Arabidopsis thaliana: one gene and its partners. The protein of the gene in region 1 interacts with the protein of each later gene in a pairwise test. Each region holds a gene or a part of one and is shown in the gene's direction. Other genes may lie near its edges.

Evidence for each region. Proteins that work in one complex are often made in the same cells at the same time.
Region 2: the proteins of WRKY21 (region 1) and IAA30 interact in binary tests that used the Arabidopsis thaliana proteins (3 or more experiments, as listed by UniProt).
Region 3: the proteins of WRKY21 (region 1) and COS1 interact in binary tests that used the Arabidopsis thaliana proteins (3 or more experiments, as listed by UniProt).

Annotation. Positions count from the first base shown.
Region 1 is NC_003071.7:13,029,885-13,038,328, forward strand, and holds WRKY21 (WRKY DNA-binding protein 21), read left to right. Parts: upstream 1-3,533; 5' UTR 3,534-4,006; coding exon 4,007-4,878; intron 4,879-4,958; coding exon 4,959-5,084; intron 5,085-5,274; coding exon 5,275-5,419; 3' UTR 5,420-5,913; downstream 5,914-8,444. Other genes in the region: DRIP2 (DREB2A-interacting protein 2), read left to right, coding at 1-27, 300-479; AT2G30600 (BTB/POZ domain-containing protein), read left to right, coding at 7,526-8,335.
Region 2 is NC_003074.8:22,992,422-22,999,551, forward strand, and holds IAA30 (indole-3-acetic acid inducible 30), read left to right. Parts: upstream 1-3,264; 5' UTR 3,265-3,413; coding exon 3,414-3,780; intron 3,781-3,910; coding exon 3,911-4,007; coding exon of another isoform or gene 4,008-4,011; exon of another isoform or gene 4,012-4,117; coding exon 4,118-4,172; 3' UTR 4,173-4,388; downstream 4,389-7,130. Other genes in the region: AT3G62110 (Pectin lyase-like superfamily protein), read right to left, coding at 4,892-5,604, 5,684-5,754, 5,841-6,015, 6,104-6,224, 6,309-6,626, 7,065-7,082. UniProt on the Arabidopsis thaliana protein: Aux/IAA proteins are short-lived transcriptional factors that function as repressors of early auxin response genes at low auxin concentrations.
Region 3 is NC_003071.7:18,221,221-18,228,975, forward strand, and holds COS1 (6,7-dimethyl-8-ribityllumazine synthase / DMRL synthase / lumazine synthase / riboflavin synthase), read left to right. Parts: upstream 1-2,992; 5' UTR 2,993-3,083; coding exon 3,084-3,234; intron 3,235-3,321; coding exon 3,322-3,437; intron 3,438-3,573; coding exon 3,574-3,669; intron 3,670-3,745; coding exon 3,746-3,841; intron 3,842-3,984; coding exon 3,985-4,063; intron 4,064-4,303; coding exon 4,304-4,350; intron 4,351-4,448; coding exon 4,449-4,508; intron 4,509-4,658; coding exon 4,659-4,697; 3' UTR 4,698-5,013; downstream 5,014-7,755. Other genes in the region: AT2G44030 (Galactose oxidase/kelch repeat superfamily protein), read left to right, coding at 1-8; AT2G44040 (Dihydrodipicolinate reductase, bacterial/plant), read right to left, coding at 765-833, 955-1,042, 1,144-1,253, 1,346-1,447, 1,550-1,624, 1,720-1,853, 2,054-2,291, 2,453-2,666 and 1 more; AT2G44060 (Late embryogenesis abundant protein, group 2), read left to right, coding at 5,702-6,673, 6,763-6,768; AT2G44065 (Ribosomal protein L2 family), read left to right, coding at 7,640-7,736. UniProt on the Arabidopsis thaliana protein: Catalyzes the formation of 6,7-dimethyl-8-ribityllumazine by condensation of 5-amino-6-(D-ribitylamino)uracil with 3,4-dihydroxy-2-butanone 4-phosphate. This is the penultimate step in the biosynthesis of riboflavin.

The DNA of each region.
Region 1 (8,444 bases):
AAGCTTGATCTCAAGAGTGAAGATGAGGTAAGCAATCTTATCTTATGCAGTGGCTACTTTTCTGTTTTATATGAGGTATCCACTCGGTCTAATATGGAATCACATAGACCGTAGTTCTATACATTGGTTCAAGTCTTGTGCTTATCAATATGACTGTAAGGTCCCCATAAATGTTTAAACTAAAGTTAACTCTCCCTTTTATTTCCGACTTGTGTACCGGGTGATATCTTATGATCTGGGACTTTTTCGACCCACCGGTGTTGAACCTTAACTACTCTATGTTTTTTTTTTGTAAACAGGTAGAGATAACATGTATGGGAGAACCAGTGATCCCAACGTTGCAGCTTCACAGCTTAGTAGACCTATGGTTGGAAACAACTTCTAAGCATCAAAGAGTCGCTGCGTCAATAGGTTCATCTGCAAAGGAATTTGTAATGGTGCTAGTTTATTCTCGGAAGCTCCCTGAATGCAACAACTAAAGAGCTATTCATTGAATCTTTTCTAGACCGAGAAGAAAGAAAAGTGCAGGAGCAGTGGAATGTCTTGTGTAGAAAGAAACTTAGCAATTTATATTTATTTAATTGTAATCTTAAAATTTGAAACATTGGTGTGAGACAGACACTTTGTTTGTTTATCCAAGAAGATTCAAAAATGGCTTTTTAAAGGAGATTGTGTCCTTTTTGGATATTTGAATGTATGATTAGGATAATGTTGTCATTTCTATAAATATTTGTTTCCTTGTTTGGACTAAATGGAGAAGTACACGGAATCCTTGTGAATCGAATGACTTAGCCATTATTGAGAAGTCAAAAGAAAAATAACCAAAAAAAAACTTGTGAAGTGTACCTTTAATACAAGAATTAAAGAGAGATGTATAAAAGTTTTCTAACAATTTTGTTCACCAAAAAAAAAAGTTTTCTAACAATTTTTAATACAAAATGCAAAATTAAAGATGAATTTTCTTATTTCTTTTTTTAAAACATAATTTTGAAGAAATTTGGTTGTCTTTTTGCATTTGTTTCTAGATATTTCTAAACTGTTGGGAAATAAAAAAATTTGCACACAAAACATAGTTAAATTCACGTGGTATTTATAGAGATTTACTTCAACCAAATTTGGATTTTGGGTCATTGTTTTATGGACGGATAAACTATCCATTAGTCAAATTTCCACAAAAATAATATGTGAATTAGATTCGACAAGGCTAATTCCCCCACAACATACGATACTAGAACAAACGTACTTGACTACTTGACGTAACAATGTTTCTCTTACTGTCTTGAAAATAACATATAACTCGTTCATCACCAATTTTCTTGTACATGATTGATTAAGTGTGTAAGCATCTTTTTCGATTAATGATGATGATGTTAATTGGAGAAACAAATTTTTCATAAATTCCCTTATAGACAAAGTCTTATAATTTTGTTAAATTCCGCATATATTTTACCAAAACTTTGTCGAATGGAAAGACACGTCAAATGTGCTAATTAGAAACTGTTGTATTGAGATTTCAAGAGGAATCAATAATAAGGTACTACTAGGGTTTTATTTCAATTAGGTTTGAATCTTGGGTCATTGTGACGAATAAATTATCTACTTGTCGATTTTCTACAAAAAGCACACATGAATTAGATTCAACGTGGCCAATTCATCTAACATATGTTACTAAAACAAGCGCAATAGACGAGTTGGCGTAATTTTATTTTATACTATCTATAAAGTAACGTATGATTCGTCTATCACCAATTATCTTGTAAATGATGGTAAAATGTCTAAATTCGTTTGTCGCTTAATAATGATGATGATATACGTTACTTTAATTAAAAAAAGCGAATTTTCGATAGATACTCTATTAACTAAGCATGCACATATCACGTTGTGATTGATTTATGCCTAGTAAATAAAATTTATCTCCAGCAAGAATAATTGAAACTTCATAACTAATTTTGAATGCTAAAATGTTAAATTGATATATGGGAAACAAGTTATGATACTCAAGAAGTCACCAATATCTAGTATTGGAATCGCTGTGGTGTTTGTTTGTAGATATTTTTCTACATTTAGCAATGTATTACATTATGATTGCAAGAGGAAGCAATATTAAGGTATTAATAAGGTTTTTACTTTTACCGGGTTAGAATTTTGGGTTTGTTTATTGGATGAAGAAATTATCCACTTGTCGATCTTTCATAAAAAGCACACGTGAATTAGTTTCGACATAGTTATATAGTTCTCCTAATATACGTTATTTGAACAAGAATACTTGACTAGTTGATGTAACGATGTTTTCTTAACGTTTCAAAAGTAACGTACGATTCTTCCATAACCAAATGTCTTGTATATAATGGTAGAATATATATTTTGTTTTGTCGCCTAATGATTATGATGTGCGTTACTTTAATTTAGAAAGCGGACTATTTAAAAACTGCTATATTGAAACCGCAAGAGAAAGCAATAGTAAGGTATTAATATGGTTTTACTTCAGCCAGATTTAAACCACCAACAATACTTTAAACCATTGGTCGATCTTTCACCACAAAAACCACACGTGAATTAGATTCGGTGTGGCTAGTTCCCTAAACATACGTTACTAGAACAAGCGCACTTGACTAGTTGGCGTGACGATGTCTTTCTTACTAATTTAAAAGTAACGTATGATTCGTCCATTACCAATTGTCATATACCTAATATAAAATATAAATTCGTTTGTCGCTTAATAATGATAACATGCGTTACTTTATGTTAAAAAGCCAATTTTCGATAGATTTTCTATTAATTGTAACGTTATAATTCATTATACATAACAAAAAAAATCTTCAACAATAATATATTGAAATTTCATAACTAATGGATGCTAAAATGTTAGATTAATAGATAGAGAAAACTTATAATACTCAAAACATTTAACACCAAAATTTCCAATATCTAGTAATGGAAATGTAATGTTTGTTAGTATATAAATTTCTGCATTTAGCAACACTTATGCTTAAAAACACATCATTGATCCGTAGAATAAAAAGACACCTCAAGTGTACTAAGTAACCGTTAGAAACTGCGTAAAAAAGTTTGGTACCACTTTTTCTTTTACTTTTTTTGTTTTGTCAAGTTACTTATCAAAAACTTGGAAATTAACTTTCTCTCTTTTTTTTTAAACTCGTGAATAACAATGAAACATTCGTATATTTTTATATCATAAAAGAAAACAATACGGTATTATATGAACAAAAAAAACTTAAAGATAAAAGAGGTCAACAAAATGTCCGAAGTATGATGATGCTAAGTTTGATTAGTTATCTTTTTTATGTCAGAGAACAATTAAATTTGTTTTATTATTATACTAAAAGAAGAAAAACCTAAACTGCAAAAATAATAATTACGACCCGAGTCTTCGAGTAGGACCCACCTCTGAATCTGTGACAGACGCCGGTTTCGTTCTCTCTCTCTCCTTTTTTTCCTCTCTTTGCTTTTCCAAAAAATAAAGTTGTCTTTTTTTATTTATAATAAAATGATTTGTTGTTTCACAGTGTGTTGTTTGTTTTGGGGTAAAAAAGAAAATCATAAGGATGCTTTCAATATTTGTTTTGTTTTGGTTGAGTGATTGCTGAAGCCAACTTAAAAGAGAGAGAAGAGAAGAGTGACTCTGTGTGTGTGTGCAAGAAAGTCTTCTCTTTCACACCTTTCGTTTTCTCGAACCTCTCCTTTAAAGATGGTGGAGGAATCTTGGGTTTGACAACTCATTAACACTGACCCTCTTTTTAGCTCTACAAGCATCCAAGGAACCCCTCTTACTTTTCCCTCTTCTTCATTCCCTCTCTCTCTATATCTCCCAATTCCTTCTCTTTTTTTAACCTTGATCTTCTTCTTATAAGAGACTCAGAGCTGTTCTTCAAGATGGGATTGTGTAAGCTTGAAACTTGACTATCTGGGTCTCTCCCATTTTCTGTTCTCTTTTGTATTCTGAGTGAAAGTTTTGTTTTCTGGGGGAAAAAATTAGGGTTCTTAGATGGAGGAGATAGAAGGAACAAACAGAGCAGCTGTTGAGAGTTGTCATAGAGTTCTTAATCTTTTACATAGATCACAGCAACAAGATCATGTTGGTTTTGAAAAGAATTTAGTATCTGAAACTAGAGAAGCTGTGATTAGGTTCAAGAGAGTTGGGAGTTTGTTAAGCAGTAGTGTTGGTCATGCTAGGTTTAGAAGAGCTAAGAAACTTCAGAGTCATGTCTCTCAAAGTCTCTTACTTGATCCATGTCAACAAAGGACAACAGAAGTTCCATCATCATCTTCTCAGAAAACACCGGTACTCCGGTCTGGTTTCCAGGAATTGAGCTTGAGACAACCTTCAGATTCACTCACTTTAGGGACTCGCTCTTTTAGTTTAAACTCAAATGCTAAAGCTCCTCTCCTTCAGCTTAATCAGCAGACAATGCCTCCTTCGAATTATCCTACTTTGTTTCCAGTACAACAACAACAACAACAACAACAACAACAACAACAGCAGGAGCAGCAGCAGCAGCAGCAGCAGCAACAGCAACAGTTTCATGAACGGTTACAAGCTCACCATCTTCATCAGCAACAGCAGCTACAGAAACATCAAGCTGAGCTTATGCTTAGGAAATGCAATGGTGGGATAAGTTTGAGTTTCGATAACTCTAGTTGTACTCCAACTATGTCATCCACTAGGTCCTTTGTTTCTTCACTTAGCATAGATGGTAGTGTTGCTAATATAGAGGGAAAGAACTCCTTCCATTTTGGGGTTCCTAGTTCAACTGATCAGAATTCACTACATTCTAAGAGGAAATGCCCCTTGAAAGGAGATGAACATGGAAGCTTAAAATGCGGGAGCTCTAGCCGATGCCACTGCGCTAAGAAGAGGTCAGTTCCATATTTTTGTTTCGTTTTCATAGCCTCTCTTTACTAAGATGGTGTAGTTAATCTGATTGGGAAATTGACAGGAAACATCGGGTTAGGAGATCGATTAGAGTACCGGCTATAAGTAACAAGGTTGCAGATATCCCTCCTGATGATTATTCATGGCGAAAATATGGTCAGAAGCCCATCAAGGGCTCTCCTTATCCCAGGTATACACTTCTTGATCATATTTTGTTATGTTAAGAAGTGATAAAGATTGATGTCACATGCAAAGAACCATCCTTTTAACATTAAGGCTTTTGAGTTTTGATGAGAAAAAAGAGTCTAAAAATGGCTAAGAGATGACACAAGTAAGATGAGTCCTTTTAAGGAAGTGTTGTATTGGATTTTTGTGTGCAGAGGATATTACAAATGTAGTAGCATGAGAGGTTGTCCAGCGAGGAAGCATGTTGAGAGATGTTTGGAAGATCCGGCAATGCTTATTGTTACTTATGAAGCAGAGCATAACCACCCGAAATTGCCATCTCAAGCTATAACAACTTAACTCTCGTTTATCTTTGCGGTCCAGCATAAACCTTCTCATGTATGTTGTTCTCTTTTGTGCGCGATGATCGGCTTTGGGGTTGCTGCAATGTTGTGATATATGGATCGGGGTAAGTGCTTTTGTTGGGGTGGATTTGCTTGTGAGAGTTTGCTGCAATTGTTGGATTTTGAGCTATATATGGGGTAAATGTAGGATTGGTCAAGACTCTTTTTCTGTTTCTCAAGTTTATTGGTCTTAATGATTAAAAGTTTAATGGTTTGTTTCTGGCTATGTATCTTTTTTTTCTTCTCAAGTGGCTTTTTCTTTTATGATTGGTACTGTTAGAATTTGGAGATTGTTGCTAAGTAACTTAATCATTTAGCAAGGTAGCTTAAATCTAAGATGATTAGGGATAAAGAATATTGGATTCTGTTCTGAGTTTAGAGAATATTGGATTCTGTTCTGAGTTTAGAGAATATTGAATTCATGTATCAAGCATAATGAATGAAACTTATTTTAAGACAAAATTGAGTTTGAGATTCCATTTTAGGAATAGACAACAAGTCTACAAAGTGCTCACTTATGTACTAATATAAGAATTCACTAAGTTAGTAAACCTATCATTAATCCCGAAAATGTTAAGTAGTTTGATGAAAATCAGAAGTATGCGTAAAATAATAACAAAGAATGAGAAAATCTGACACGTTTAAGCGCATTTTTGGTAAATTTAATCTGAATATTCATCTCATTCTTTTTTAAAGAACACTTACACTAATTACATTCCCTTTTCTTCTCCATTTATCATGTATTTTATATAATATTCTCATCTAAAAGATCATTCTCATTAATAGTATAGATTATTTAAAAGTGGGTGTTGAAACCTACAAAATAAAATTAAAACACATTTCAAAACTTTAAAATGGATGTCTCTTACATATGTAACAGAAATCACATTGTCCAACTATCTACTATACTTATGTGAAAAAAACATACATATGCCCAAAATTGTTATCAAACCAAAATGTTCTGGAAATAGCCCATTGGACATCTATTTATAAAATTGCATACACTTTAGCTAAAAAAAAGTACTTCAGTTTGTTGTTAGAATATTCAAATTCAAGAATTATTTTTGAAAGAATTGTGTGCAGAATATCAAAGAAATTTTGAAATAATTCAGAATTGTGTACACAATATCAAAAAATCCATTTCGAAAATGCTTTGTACACTTGTGTTTTGGCTTGTATTTTTATTTTAAAAGTATGATATGTAAAATAAATAGGAAGTGTAGGATTATTCTTTTTCTTGTCTAATAAAAAATAAAAAATAATCATATGCATTTATGAAGATAATTAAACTTTTAAATACTTTTTAATATTTCATACATATTATCCATTTCTCATTCCAAAAAAAGAGTTTAATTCTCAGTTTCAGAATAAAATGTGGGCCTTATACAGATTTAGTTGGCCCATTAATGTACAGGTGACAATAATCCACCAACTCGTTTCTCCTGACACAAAAAATATCTCATCATGTCTTCTTCTTCGTATTCGTGTCTCTCATTTCCTTTTTTGACTCTTCTTTCCAAAAAGGATTAGATCTGACTCACTATTACGTGTCACGCACAGTTCATTAGGTACGCTCGGAAAATTTTATCCACACATCTAAATATCTGATTTATGATCAAATCACCCATTTTTATTTTTCCTTTTGTAGCTTCTCAAATCTTTTGTCTTTATTCGATTTAAAAGTTGATGTACTCTGCATCTGATTGTTTTGCTCGTGTTTTATTACCACGTTGTGGTTGAAATTTGACGGCGGAAGTTCATGGTGGGGTATGAAGCCAGTTGGATTCAGATTTTTTTGCCAAGTTGATTGCTTTCTAGCTGATTCATTGAAAATAACGTTCCTTTTTAAAAACCCATTTGTTATCATTGTCTTCTCAAAACGTATGATCTGGTTTTTCAAAAGTGAGTCTGGTTGAGTTCTATGTGTTTGTGAAAATGTCTCAATGAGTGAAATTTTGTTTCTTTTTATGTTTTTAGTGTCTTTGTCTTTGGTTATATAGATGTTGATGGCTTGTGGGTTTGGAAATATTGTAGGTGAAGGCAAGAGATTTTATGAAGAAAGATGGTTGCGGCGAAAGAGAACAAGTTTCTGACAGTGGCACCTTTTGAGTGTGCTTGGAGTGATGATCTGAAGTTCCGGGAAGCGGGAAGAGGTTGTGTTGCGTTTGATGCGTTTGCTCACAATGATGTCACGGTGGTGTTTAGAGAGAATGTGGGGACTCAACATTACCATTATAAGAAAGATAATAGTCCTCACTACATTGTTATCATTGGTAGCAATAGGAATCGTAGGTTGAAGATTCAGGTAGATGGAAAATCTGTGGTCGATGAGGAAGCTTCTGATCTTTGTCGTTGTTCTTTGGAGTTTCAGAGTTACTGGATTAGTATCTATGATGGGTTGATTAGCATTGGTAAAGGTCGGTATCCGTTTCAGAACCTGGTATTTAAGTGGCAAGACCCCAAGCCCAATTGTAATGTTCAGTATGTTGGTCTGAGCAGCTGGGATAAACATGTTGGATATAGAAACGTGAGTGTGTTTCCTGTGACACATAATCATATCTTGCTGTGGAAGCAAGTGGATTGCCGTGAAGTTAGAGGAGATGAGTCTGGTGACGAGAAGGTTGTGGAGGAAGGGACTGGTTATGATTATGAACAATGGGGACTTGGGAATTTCTTGGAGAGTTGGCAATTATCTGACACAGTCTTCCTTGTTGGTGAAGAGGAAATGGATGTCCCTGCTCACAAGGTTATATTACAAGCATCAGGTAATTTTCCTTTGAGATCATCTGATGGGGATGTCATTCAACTTCGTGGAGTGTCGTACCCGATTCTTCATGCTCTTCTTCAATATATCTATACTGGACGAACTCAGGTAATTTCTCATATCCTCTTCCCTTGACGTAATTGTCCCTTTTGCCTGGTGAAATGCTTTGTTAGGAACCTTTTTATTTATTTATTAGTAAACATGGAGATTCTATATC
Region 2 (7,130 bases), on another chromosome or scaffold:
AACATTATAATTTTTGATTAAATGACTTAAATTAAAGTAGACATAAAACTAACAAATATCAACTATATTTCGAAGTTAGTGATACTTTTCCCATAAATAGTATACACTGACTTTTTTCGTAAAACATGTTAAATATATACATTCAATCATATATATATTTATCATACTAACAGAAGAAATCTACATTATTGTAAAGGACTGGGAGAAATAATTTTCTAAGAACAAGAGCAACACATATTTCTTTATGATGAAATGAAATCACTCGTAAAGAAACGGGAGTAGCTTTGAAGTCATTTATCACTTGTACGTCAAACAGAAGATTAGAAGGTGAATCACTGCATTTTATGGTTTGGTTTATGATAAAGACGGTTTTTTAATTTTTAAACCGCTATGTTTTTTGTTGGTTGGTTTCGAAGCCAAAAATATATCAGAGTGGTGGTCAAAAACCTCTAATTTTGAAGATATAATAATTGGTTTATGTCAAAAAGAGATATAATAATTGGTCTTGCATGTTGGTATGGTCAACTTTGTGACTAAAAAAAAGAAAGAGCCTAAAACGAGAAAATGGAATGAGTTGGCCAACAAGAGAGGCTACAAAAGAGTCACGAGACATGCAATCATCCGGATTTGAAGCCAGCCCATGTTTTTACTGACAAGCAAACACATTGCAGTAAAGTCGAGTTATCATAATTTATGATAAACATAAAGTAAATTATGAGTAGTATTTTTTTTCTTTCAAAAAGAAGCAAAACTCTCTTACAACTTAATGATTTGTAAAAGGACGAGACATTATCATTAAATCTTGAAACTAAAAAACTATGAGTGCCTTGAAAATCTGAGAATCACTGTTTTTCTTTTGAATTTCATTTCTATGTACATATGGTGAAATCTCAATTCTCCAATTTTCTTTTAGTATTGTTTTTATACTTTCACAAATAGGATTTAATTTACTTAGAATTGACTCTATTTTTTTCTTGTTTTTACTATCTATGTTCGCTTTCCAGAATTTTATACGTTATTCAAAGAAAATACTTGACCAAATACATGTAATAACATATTGGTTATCTAGAAACAAAAGACGAGTACAAGATACAAAAAAAAAAAACAAAGGGGACAAAGAATGGTGTGGAGAAAAAAGTTTGAAGAAGAAAGAAAAAAAAGTGAGGAAATTGTGATGATAATGGTAGGGGTGGTGGGGAACATATCTCTTCTTTATCAGTTTCCCTTTTTTTTTTTCTCTCTCAAAAATCATGTTTGGAGTTTCTTTTGGTTCAAGCTAAATCTTTTTCTCTTCTTCTTTCTAATAGTATCTATTTGTTTCTTCAAACCAAACGATATCTACGCAATACATGTCGGTTATTGTGATAACGACATTGTTTGGATGTTTCGGGTTCAAAAGATTTGTATGAATGTGTATACTATATATGTTTTTGGCTCAATGATAAAGACACTTGATAAGAGATTCAGGATCGTTTCAAATTATTTTAAAAAACTATATATAATATGAAAAACACTTTAATACTTAAGAATACTATTTGTAATCCGTAAAACTTTAAGTTCTAAAACCATTAATTAAAAATAAGAAACAAGTTACGTTGTACATATAAACTAAAAGACGGAATGGAATATGATTTGATTGTAAAAATAACTTTGGACAAAATCTTCCAATTATAAAAGAGAGAACAAAGAGTTCTAATCATATTGATTGGTAGGTCATGAAGAAGCTTAAGGAGTGATTGTAGAAGAGTGGAAGTGGAGGCGACAAAGTGAGGAGACACGTGGAAAAAGGCACGTGACGTGGGGAACGTGAAATGTTGTCGATAGTGTTTACTGTCTCGTGCTTGCAAAACTATATGTATGTTTTGGAGTGTGAGAATTGTGACGTATCCTCAGTCCTTAGTCCATAGGCGAAGCATCTCTCATTAGCTCCTCTCTTTAAGGTTACGCATTCATTACTCATGCTTCCCTTCTCTCATTTTCTTTCTTTTTCTATATTCCCCTCTATTTGTTTCTTCGCTTCTAATTTATTACATGTAACGTACAAAACCAAGAAGCATGCACTTTTTTCTGGTGACCAAAGTTTAATATATCAACCGAATTGACTATACCACATACATGTTTCTATCTAAATCCAATGAATATTACACAAATAGAATCTTGGTGTGCCAACCAAAGAGAAGCATTTATTAAAGTCACTATTTTGAATACTAACGACGGATAAGACTAAGATCACCAATATGATGTGTTTTGGTCTCTGCCATGAAAAGATACAGAAATTCTGATTAAGATTTGTGGGAGATTAGCACCACTTGATTCACTTTGATTGCTACACATAAAAGGTTGGTAAATTGGTTTAGTATTGGAAAAATATAGTAGTGGTTGGACTTGACTATAGATGCTTCATGATAAGATAAATTAAAAGGAACAATCAAATTAGTAGAGGAGTGTAATTACTAACAGCGACGTGGATTAAAATCATGGAAAGCTCAAACTCTTGTCATGCTTAGATACAATGGAGTCCACGTAGACTATTTTCAATATTTTTTGTCATAATTAAAGAACATTATTAGAGAGTTAATGACGTACATGAGACGTGTTTAGCAGTTGATATTCAATTTAAAAAACATTTTGACATACTTTAATGCTAAAACAAAAACATTTTTTTTGCTTAAAGTGTCTCGCGGTTATAAAAAAAACCTTAATTATGGAAGTGTTGTTTGTCGAACCCACGAATGCATCAATGCGCGTCACGATAGTCTCATGCATTGAACTTGATTTTACTAAGACGGATAATGAAGTAAACTATGTATTGTACATTGGTCTACATTTATTTAAGAAAACATGTTCTTATCCGGTTTAGAACTATCTTGTCTACGTTCATATGATTCCTTAAATCTAAGCCTAAACTTTTTAAACTAAATCAGTCACAGTTTCTTATTCATTTATAGTGTTTTAACAAAATAATTCAGTTAATTCTAAAATCCAACCCTAATTATTTTATAAGAAATCAAACAATCTTTTTTCTTTTTTTTTTTGTTAAACGAAAGGTAGTACTAGGAGTCGAGTATATTTACATTGAAACAAACAAAATTTAATTAGAACACACCCAGCAAAAAAATCCGAGCACAAAGTCAAAACCAACACTTTGACCAAGTGTCTGCATGACACGTGTATTTGTCTGCTACATGGACAACATCTTTAACAACACTGTCTCATCATTCCACCATTTTCTTTAATTAAAAAAAAAACATATCAGAAAGACCATTCCAATATTATTACTTCTTCCTTTTAAGCTCTAACAATTAAATAAAAATTTCCATTCTCTATATATAATACACACACGTTCAAATCATTAATCACCTGTTTTAGATAAAATCATAGAGAGAGAGAAATAGTAAAAGAAATAAAAAAAAATGGGAAGAGGGAGAAGCTCATCGTCTTCATCGATAGAGAGCAGCTGCAAAAGCAACCCATTTGGTGTGTCTTCGAGTAATACTCGGAACCTAAGCACGGACCTGAGACTCGGGCTCAGCTTCGGATCATCTTCCGGACAATATTACAACGGTGGAGATAACCATGAATATGATGGAGTCGGTGCGGCAGAGGAAATGATGATCATGGAAGAAGAAGAGCAAAACGAGTGTAATAGTGTCGGAAGCTTCTACGTGAAAGTGAACATGGAAGGAGTTCCTATTGGGAGAAAGATCGATCTTTTATCTCTTAATGGATATCATGATTTGATCACAACTCTCGACTACATGTTCAATGCTTCAATCCTTTGTAAGTATCTACACACACTTAATTACATCTTTGCATGTAGACTTAGTTAATATTTATATTTGTTATACCTCTCTTTGCATGTATATAGTTAAGACCAAAACTAATGGCAATAAAAAAATTGTGAAAATAGGGGCTGAAGAAGAAGATATGTGTAGTGAGAAGAGTCACGTGCTAACGTACGCAGACAAAGAAGGTGACTGGATGATGGTTGGAGATGTTCCTTGGGAGTAAGTTCTTTTTTAATTTTAGTGTATTAAAAATCTCTAGTTAAGTATTTTTTTTGACATAATTATGTAAAAATTCCCTTTAATTAATGGGGACTTAATTGATTATGTAGGATGTTCTTGTCTAGCGTGAGAAGACTAAAGATCTCAAGAGCTTATCACTACTGATTTTCTAAAAGCAAACTTGGAAGAATCTAGGATTGACCAATACAGTCAGTGGTGGTGGGGGAAAAAGTTAGTTTTGTCTGAATGTAAATCACTTGTTCGAGATTTTATTCAAATTTTGTTTCTAGTTTTATTACATTTATAAAAAAATCGGTTGTAACTTGTAATGAAGCTATTTTTTTCAAGAAAAAAAGCTGTAGCTAATGCAGATCCTTTTTGGTTTAGTAGTTATTTTTATGGTTTTAGACATAGATTAGATAATACTAGAAATATGAATTGTTTTGGAACACTGCTGAATTAGGTTCATATTCGTATTCTAGTTTTCACAAAGTTTCAGTTGAGTTACTAGTTTAACCAAATCAAGATCTATTTCATATTTTCATACTATCATTTACTTCTCAATTCAACTATTTTACCGGAATAAACAGTGAAATATAGTTGTTCTAGTTATGGAATCTGAAATTGAAAAATAATTGTCAAAAAATTTCAACAGACTCTGTCGGAGATATTACAATTGTTCCGCTCACCAAAAGCATTAAAGCCCATACAAGGAAAACAAAAACAAAAACTCTTAAGCCACTCTGATTATTTTCCTCACTGCACACAAATTTACACGAAAACAACAAAAGATGAAAGAAAGCATCATTTTTCAAAATCGAAGAGGTTTCTTCAGAATCAAGCAAACTGTGTTTCCCCTTTGATGTTCAAAACTTCACAGTAACTTACCAAGAAAGTAACCATGGTGATCTACTTAAACCACTTGATATCTCCATATTATTTTCCGATAACCCGAAACAATCAGATCCATGTTCCGGGAATATACTCTCTTTCAAAGAATCACAAGTAATTTCCGGCGAAACCCACTGTGAATAACCTCTCACATTCGAGCATTCCCATGGTGATTTCTTCGAATTCTTCTTCACTCTAAGAGTAACATTAAGGAAACATATATTCTTAAACACATCTCCTTCTATACCTTCAAGAAGACCCGCAACACCTATTCCATCGCCATTTACATTCTCAAAGGTGATTTTCTCTATAGCTGGGAGTGCTTTGGGATCGTATTTCTCATCAGGATGTTCACCGTACTTACCGGTGAACCTAATCGCTTTCTTTACATTATCGAGCTTCACGTTCAAGATGTGAACGTTTCTAACATACCCGCCTCTTCCAGCAGAAGTCTTGATTCTGATTCCAGTATTCGAATTGAACAAATGTAAGTCTTTAATGTATATTTCGGATACACCTCCCGACATTTCACTTCCTATTGCTATTCCTGAGCTTGAAGTAGTTTGACCTGTTAACCGATTAATCTTGATCTTGGAGCTCGGTCTTGCGTAGGATATTCCATACTCATCCCATCCGCTTTTTATCGATACCAAATCATCCCCGGTAACTATGTAACAATCCTCTATGCAAACATTAGTTGATGAATCTGCAAACAGAACAATTTCCAAAGATAATAATAAGGTACATATCTTGAATCTACGAGTAAAATTTGCAAGGAAACTCACCTGGATCAACTCCATCTGTATTTGGAGATTCAAGAGGAGCCAAAATTGTGAGATTCTTTACAACAACATCTCTGTTCAGACAAAAACTCCATATCAGAACATTGAAGAGAGAAATTTGGTGGATATCAAAATCAAATCATGATTAAGTTATTATGACCTGCAATAAACAGGATGAATGTTCCAAAACGGTGAATTCAAGAATGTGAGGTTGGAGATGATCAGACCAGTAGAGTTCATGAGCTCAACAAGATGAGGTCTTGTATAGTTAAGCTCTCCATTTCTAAACCAATCCCACCATACAGTTCCTTGACCATCAATTGTCCCGTTCTCGCCTAAAATGTTGATATCATCAGACAGCATATCTAAAACTAGCATCATCAGTTCAAAACTAATCATTTTTTATAAATGCTGTACTAGTACCTGTTATGACTACATCTGTGAGATTCTGACCATATATAAGACTTCTGTGTCTTCTACCGGGCAATTCTCTTCCTCGTCCATATGATGGTAATGGATCAACCACGGGCCAATTCTCTGAGCTCTGAGTGTTAACAAGTTGTATAAGTGATCACAGTTCATATAGCAAAGGGTATGCTTGTAAAGATTCAAAAAGGCAGAGACTTGCCGTTGACCCGAGAATCGTTGCACCTTTATCTAGCCATAAGGTGAGGTGACTGATAAGGTCGAAACTCCCGGTAAGCCACTGACCAGCGGGAACAAAAAGCTTGGCCCCGCCTTTATCAGAGAAAGAATTGAGGTAGAACAGAGCATTCTGAAAGGCTTTAGTGTTTAGAGTCACACCATCTCCAACCGCTCCAAACTCTGTAATCGATACGCTGTGAGGCCGGTGAAGACTCGCTAAATTGGAATATTCACAATGCAGGCTTTCTCCAACACTACACCAAGCCCCATAGAAGGCCTGTACCAGGAGCACATACAAGAGCTGCAAAAACCAAAATTTCTCAAGTCTCAAGCTTTAATGAAACTCTGATAGCACACTGGAGCCACATTTCACTCTAAAACTAAGCAATGCGCAAAAGCAATCAGAACACTTGTTGTATAAAAATTCTCCACCTATTGTAGAACATTGTGATCCTATGATGTTCTCAAGTCTCAAGCTTTATGAAACTCACACATTAAACAGTGGAAGAAGCACAATTTAGGTGAGAGCCGCATTTCACATCTATAAGCTAACAAACATCAAATCAGGAAGAAAGATGAAATATTGCACAGTAAAAACAGTGAATTCTCAACCTTTAAACCAGATTTCAGATCTTAAAGACAAAGATATATATACATATTACCAGATTTGAGAGACAAGAGCATTGGAATTGTCTAAGTAATGTCCAAAGAAAGAAGAGATAAATTGATAAAGACTTACAAGGAAAGATCTCTTCATATGAAAAGAAGATCTGTGATCTCCTCCTCCAGGAAACTTAAATTAAAA
Region 3 (7,755 bases), 5.2 Mb from region 1:
GACACTGAATATATACTTTCACAAGTCTTGCTAATTATATGGATATATACTACCAACAAGACCAGCAGCTTCTTTCCTTAATGCTTATTGCAGACATTGATGGAGCTTACTTTCCCTCATTTGTTTCTCATGGCCTATGGAACATAAAACCGTTCTTTGGTGTCTCATGAGAAGCCCATTTAAAGCCCAAATAAGCTGTCACTGTTACACATTTAAAAGACTCCCCGGAGTTCTTCTTAGTTGCCTGCCCTAAAATGCATACCGCCAAGAACAGTCGAAGTGACTCATTTGTTCAATGAGAATAACAATAAAAGCCAAAAATCTTAACAACACCAGATTGAATAAACTTTGTCGATTAAGATTATATACAAGATGATTTCAATCTCTGCGGATTGAGTGGTCAAGTTCCTTACTATGATTATGCACTTGATCTCATTTTAGATGTTGAATCATCAAATGGTAAGTGAAGGGTCCATTTGATGAATTTAGGTTTTACTTTGTCTGAGAATTGTTGTGGAGAAGTTTGATCAATAAGACTTCACTTCAATGATCCAGAAAGGAGAATAACATTGAGGTAAAGAGGTCAAAACATGAACAATACAATGGCAAGTTCTTGTATATACCAAGGAATTTCAAAAGCCTGTGCTCAAGGCAGAAGAAGTGGGAAACCAAACATCTAATTTTCACAGCTGATGATTTGGTAAATCTAATCTCAGCTCTTCTACAACCACCATTTGGTCAATGCACTGGCAAAACTCGAAAGCTCAACGCATATTTCCCTCTCTCAAGACATCGATCATGTTGTAGATTCGCTGATCTGCTTTCAATCGAATCTGCATTTCACAAAAGTGTTGAATCAACAATTAGCATTATAGAGAAGAGCGGTGAGACTCAGAGAAAGCTGAGATTCAATTTCGCAGAATCATGATGAGCAATAAGAGCAAGCTTTAGAACCTTTTTGGCGAGGAAGAGCACGGCATCAACAGTACCCTCAGCATAAATTGATCGGCCGCAGACATTGTGCTGGAACTCGAAGGAGACACTGCAAAGAAAGACAAAGAAAAGGGAGCTAGTTATGGAACAGAGACACTTTTACAATGGAAACAAAGAAAAGTATAAACAATATCTTAGATATTGCATTACGTTTCATCGGGTGATGTCAAGTGATAAAGATGGAAAGCGTGACCAGAGATATGCTCCTCAGGTACACCCACCATCTCCACTTGCTGTTTTGGATCCCGAATCAATTGTATCTGCCACAAAAGTTGTATACACAGAAAATTCACATTCCGAGGATAAATTAAGTGATTGCCAAGATGTAAACAATAAAGGATGACCAATGCACCTGATCCATGTCGTAAGACACACCCAATTCCTGGAAGCAAGAAATAACAGCTTTTGCTGTTCCGGATGCATCCAATTTGCTAGCTTGATGAGACTCCATCACCTACATATAGATTGGCAGTTGATTAGATGTAGCAAGAAGTAATATAAAACTAACAGAGAAAGAAAAAAGAATTTGAATGTATAAAAGAAGTAAGAAAAGTACATCCAAGGAATAACCAGAAAAGGCTCCCGGAAACTGCTCAGCCATGATCTCCATGGCCGCAAGAAATGCTACAACCTATAGACCAACAAAGCACACAAATATGAGCAAAAATGATCTTAACTTACATGCATAAGTAATCATTTCTTCCAGAAACATTCAAGTACACATACCTGTTTACCCATCTGTGGAGAAATCACAGCATAAATCTTTGCTTCCTCAACAGTTTCATACAATTTGTTCCTATCTCCACCAGTTGTTCCCATGACGAAAGGAACACCTACTTTGCTATACAGCTCCGCATTATCTACATTTTGCGAGAATACCAAACTTGAAATCAACAAACAATAGACAAAAAAAACACTTCTAGCAGATGATTTTCACTTGCACAAATTCTAAACTAACTCAATCAAGGATCGTTCCGCCAACCAGAATTCAACCATAACTTCAACAAATCTAGAATACAATTGTCTTTTGATGGTAGAAATGAGAGATTCTGAAGTTTACCATTTACTGCAGAGGGAATTGTGTAGTCGACAACAATTAGCTCCGGGTGCTTCTCAAACACCGAAGAAAGAACCTTTTCTCTTTCAGTTGGACCGTGCACAGTAATCTCCTTTCCACAGACCTCAACTCTCTGACCATCCTCACCAGCAGATCCAAACGATATGGGAACAATATTTACTCCTGCAGAGTCTGCTGCTTTAATTACAGCTTTCCCCATTTTGCCACTACATCCATTCACCTGTAGAATAAGAGATAATGAATATAGCTAAATCCAACATAAAAATCCCCATTTCAAAAGGAACAAGCTTTGACATTTCTACATTTCAAACTTAAATGGTAATGCAAAGTCAAATCTCACAACTTTGAGTCTAAGAGAAATCATCAGATGATCAGGTTTACCATGATGGATATGCCATTTCCAGGCAAAACAGATTTCACGGCCTCCTCACCGGAATCCGCCATCGCCGTCATGGATAAAACCACCGGAAGACGACGTGTCCCAATGCCCATGAAACTAACACGGCCTTTACCGTATTTTCCTACAGTCTGATTCGTTCTAGAAGCAAATGCGATACGCGGGCGATGAAGAAACACACTGGACGACGCCATTAACCTGTGATCAAATCGTTTAAATTCAATAGAATCCTCTTAAAGAGTTTAAAGCTCATCTCCGTCAATCAAAACGTGAAATTCGTAGGTTTCGAAACGTACCCATTCGTAGCCATAAAGGAATTTACTCTCCAGGATACGGAAGTTTTGTTCTTTGTTACGACGGAGTCAAAAGTTTAAATCTTTCACTTTTGTCTGAAAATTTCCGGCCGGTGAGAGTGATTGGGGATGTAGGGTTTAGCTTATCCCTTTTCATCAAACCGGAAATCTCTAACCAAACTAATAGATTCAATGAAACCGTAATTTTAATGAAAATAATAAACCGGAAGCCTTGAACCGATTTGATAAGCTAATGGACCTCACAGTCTCACTCTTAACCTGAAGAACGAAGAACCGTCTCTAAAACTCCGACGAACGAAAAATGAAGTCATTAGCTTCGCCGCCGTGTCTCCGCCTGATACCGACGGCACACCGTCAGCTCAATTCGCGTCAATCTTCCTCCGCCTGTTATATACACGGTGGCTCTTCTGTGAACAAATCCAATAATCTCTCATTCTCCTCATCCACATCCGGTAAGCTTGCTTTCTCTCACTTCTCTTATAATAACTCAAATCGTTTTTTCGCAATTTCGTGATTGAGATGTTAACATTTGGTGTTAGGATTTGCGTCACCACTAGCTGTAGAGAAGGAATTACGCTCTTCATTCGTACAGACGGCTGCTGTTCGCCATGTTACGGGGTCTCTTATCAGAGGCGAAGGTCTTAGATTCGCCATCGTGAGTTCTCAGAATCGCTTTCTTACTTTGTGCGCTGCTTAGATTTAGTGACTTGGTTCTGATTTACAGTGAAATTTGAAAACTTTGAGCTCAATTGCAGTGTTGACTTGGTTCTGATTCATTTTTCTTTCTCAAGGTGGTAGCTCGTTTCAATGAGGTTGTGACTAAGTTGCTTTTGGAAGGAGCGATTGAGACTTTCAAGAAGTATTCAGTCAGAGAAGAAGACATTGAAGTAAAAGTCTTTTGCTTGTAGAACAGAATAAAAAGTTATGAGCTTTCACAAAGCTAATGACACTGTTTTTATTCAGGTTATTTGGGTTCCTGGCAGCTTTGAAATTGGTGTTGTTGCACAAAATCTTGGGAAATCGGGAAAATTTCATGCTGTTTTATGTATCGGCGCTGTGGTATGATTCTTGTTTTGAAAGAATCTCAGGCTATTCCATTTGTTTTTCTCCTCATATGGCTTCAGAAAGTAGTTGCTTTATGTTGATAACATATACTTAAAGAGTTGGATTTTGATATTACTGTTGTCCTTGTTGTGGTTTAGATAAGAGGAGATACCACACATTATGATGCTGTTGCCAACTCTGCTGCGTCTGGAGTACTTTCTGCTAGCATAAATTCAGGTTTACCTCGATACTTATTTGCTGGATATACATCTTTAGACATTTTTATTTGACATTGTTTTGGAAACACTGAAAGATTGATTTTGTATACTTCCGAACCTAAAAGAGCGGGTAGTTCATTTTTGCTTTTCTTTGGATTTTGGATGTTTAAATTCCCTCATCATGAATTACTTCTTCAAATTTTGTGTTTACGCACTATTGACTCTAGTAATTAAAGCTTATAAAAAATCCAATTTGCAGGCGTTCCATGCATATTTGGTGTACTGACTTGCGAGGACATGGATCAGGTTTAAGTTGTGTTATGCAAGAGTTGATGATATATAGCTTATTCATCATAATGGATGAACACTGAATTTGTTAATATTGTGGTTAACTGAAACTCTAGGCTCTGAATCGATCTGGTGGCAAAGCCGGCAATAAGGGAGCTGAAACTGCTTTGACGGCGGTAAGTATCATTATGATTCAATCCTTTATTGTTAGAATAAGATGTAGAAATTCCTGATCATTCCATTGAGCAACTGGTCATGTTATAACCATTCGGGTTCTTATGTCTTTTTGGTAAAGTCTTTGAATATTTCTTCCTCTTGTTTTTCAGCTCGAAATGGCGTCGTTGTTTGAGCACCACCTGAAATAGCTCGGCTCGTTCGATGGATGAACATGATCACGTATGAGAACCTCTTGATGTTGTCCCATTTGGTTACAATCCAGTCTCTGAAATTGTTTGTACCTCAAAGATTGTCAAAATGTTTTACCCTTGGTTACAAAATCATTTAAACGCTTTTGTAAGCTTCTGGCCTTGTTTTTTTTTTTTGAATCGTATGATAATAATAATTCCTCCGAATTTTGGGGGTCTTTCTGTACTAATCAAAAATGTGATCTTCTTTGTTGTAATATCTTGAAATTGAGGTGTCGAAATGGATGTCAATTTTAAAAGCCAATAAGGATCTTACACGACGAAAATTTTGTCGGCGAGCGAAGATTACGCGTCACATTGATAATAGTTAATATAAAGTTCAACGGATCAACCAATTCCACAATCTATAATCATTTTGTGACTCTTGGAGCACTCTCTTCTCTTTGTCTCTGTGACTCACATTCATCCAATCCAGGTAAAAATCAAATCCACTAAGTTTTATTTCTCTTCATTGTTGTTCTTGCGTTGATCCTTCATGATTTGATCGGAATACATGGAAAAAGGTGGTGTAATTAGATCGAGCTTTTTGTTTCTCCGATCTGTTTGACATTTAGGTTGATCTAGTGCTATCATGTGTAGATCGAACATTCGGATCTGTATTTCCCACGAATCCTCTTGATTCACGTGATATGATCATTGTCTCTTAGTACAGAGATGCATTGTATGTTCTTTGGTTTGGGATATTCCACTAGGATCCTAGTTGATGATATCTAATGTGATGCGAGTTCTCTATGGTCTTTGGTGAGAAACTTTGTTTTGGTGATTATAGCCTCTTACAACTACTAAAAACTGTGATTACACTTTGTTTGACTTTTACAACCATTGTCCTGCTGTGATTGATGAATCTACTCTCGGCGTTGAATGCTTGAAGTTTTGTCTATTCTTTGATACTCTAAGCTTTTGTTTCTGTGGCACTAATTGACTTTTCTTGCTGCTTAGGAGGCATGTCGACATCTGAGGATAAACCGGAAATCATCAGTAGAGTAGTTCATCAGGAGGGTGACGTGGAAATCGTCGATAGAAGTCAGAAGGATAAGGACGAGGAAAAAGAAGAAGGGAAAGGTGGATTCCTCGATAAGGTGAAAGATTTCATTCATGACATTGGTGAGAAACTCGAGGGAACCATTGGCTTTGGGAAGCCAACTGCTGATGTCTCTGCGATTCATATCCCTAAGATCAATCTTGAGAGGGCAGATATTGTTGTGGATGTGCTTGTCAAGAACCCGAATCCAGTTCCTATCCCTCTCATCGATGTCAACTACCTGGTCGAGAGCGATGGGAGGAAACTGGTTTCTGGTTTGATCCCGGATGCTGGAACACTCAAGGCTCATGGAGAAGAAACTGTGAAGATACCATTGACGTTGATCTATGATGACATCAAGAGCACTTACAACGATATCAACCCCGGGATGATCATACCTTACAGAATCAAGGTTGATCTGATTGTGGATGTGCCAGTATTGGGAAGACTGACATTGCCGCTGGAGAAATGTGGAGAGATCCCAATTCCAAAGAAACCTGATGTTGATATCGAGAAGATTAAGTTCCAGAAGTTCTCTTTGGAGGAAACCGTGGCGATTCTCCATGTGAGGCTTCAGAACATGAATGATTTCGACTTGGGGCTCAATGACTTGGACTGTGAAGTTTGGCTGTGTGATGTAAGCATTGGGAAAGCAGAGATCGCGGACTCGATCAAGCTTGACAAAAACGGAAGCGGATTGATTAATGTGCCGATGACATTCCGACCAAAGGACTTTGGTTCTGCGCTTTGGGATATGATTCGTGGTAAAGGAACAGGGTACACAATCAAAGGTAATATTGATGTTGATACACCATTTGGAGCTATGAAGCTTCCTATTATCAAGGAAGGTGGAGAGACCCGTCTGAAGAAGGAAGATGATGATGACGACGATGAGGTTATTTACCTATATATTCTTTTCTTTTGCTTATAGCTTGAACGTTATGATCGTTTTTGCTCACTAATATTAATTTCATTTTCTTACAGGAATAAGGAAACAAAGTGCTGCAGAGACAGAATGGTCATAGTTACTAAATCTCCGATCTTGAAATGTCTATTTAAAATTAAAAAAAAAGAAAGACTTGTTTTGTGTGCTTTTTGATAACTGATGGATCAGACTTTTGAATAGAGCCGTCTTTTTATTGGACTTCTTATATCATTGTGGTCTCTCGTTAGCTTAGTTATGTTTTGTGTTTCACATTGGCGTTTATCAATTACATGAATGAACCTAAAACGCAGTTCACATCCTCAACGATCATGTGTTAATTCATATTTAGAAAATTTAATCTCAAGTGATTCTACAATGGAGACGTTTATTACATACGTGCTCTGTTCTTCCTTTCTCGCGCCTGCACATGGTGTAGAAAACACTGATAGAACGAGCTGGGCCTATCTAGTGGGTTTGGTGTATTGGGCTTGTATTAATGAATTGGGCCTGTCTTCTCGATTTTAATTAAAACAATTAGGCATTTAGGCTCTCTCTCACACACCCATAGTCGTCTTCCTCGATCAGTCTCTCTCTCAAATTGCAAAGGTTTCTTCGAGGACTTTGGCATACTGCAGGTTTGTCCCGATCTCATGCTACATCATTATACGAAGCCATTACTTAACCCAGTAGATTGATAGCTCAAATTATCATTGCAAGAAATGACCGGATTTAGTGATATTGTACAGTTTTCTGATTCGGAATTTTAAATAAAAATCGGTCGTGACGATTTAGGTATGTGGGTAGTGCGTAGAAGCCCTAATTTCAAGGATATGTACAGTTCCAGACTGTTAATTATTTGTGTTTATTTGGATAGGTTGTTGGAGCTGTAGTGCTTAAAAACCCTACCTTTATACTGTTTAGAGCAGCAGTCCCTCCATGTCAGGTCTTGTGGCGTTATGCAGAGCTCGAGCTTCTGCTTCGTCTTCTTTATTCAACAGCGTTATTCGTCCAGCATTTCGCAATTTCTCTACAGGTAGGTGGTATTACTCTTT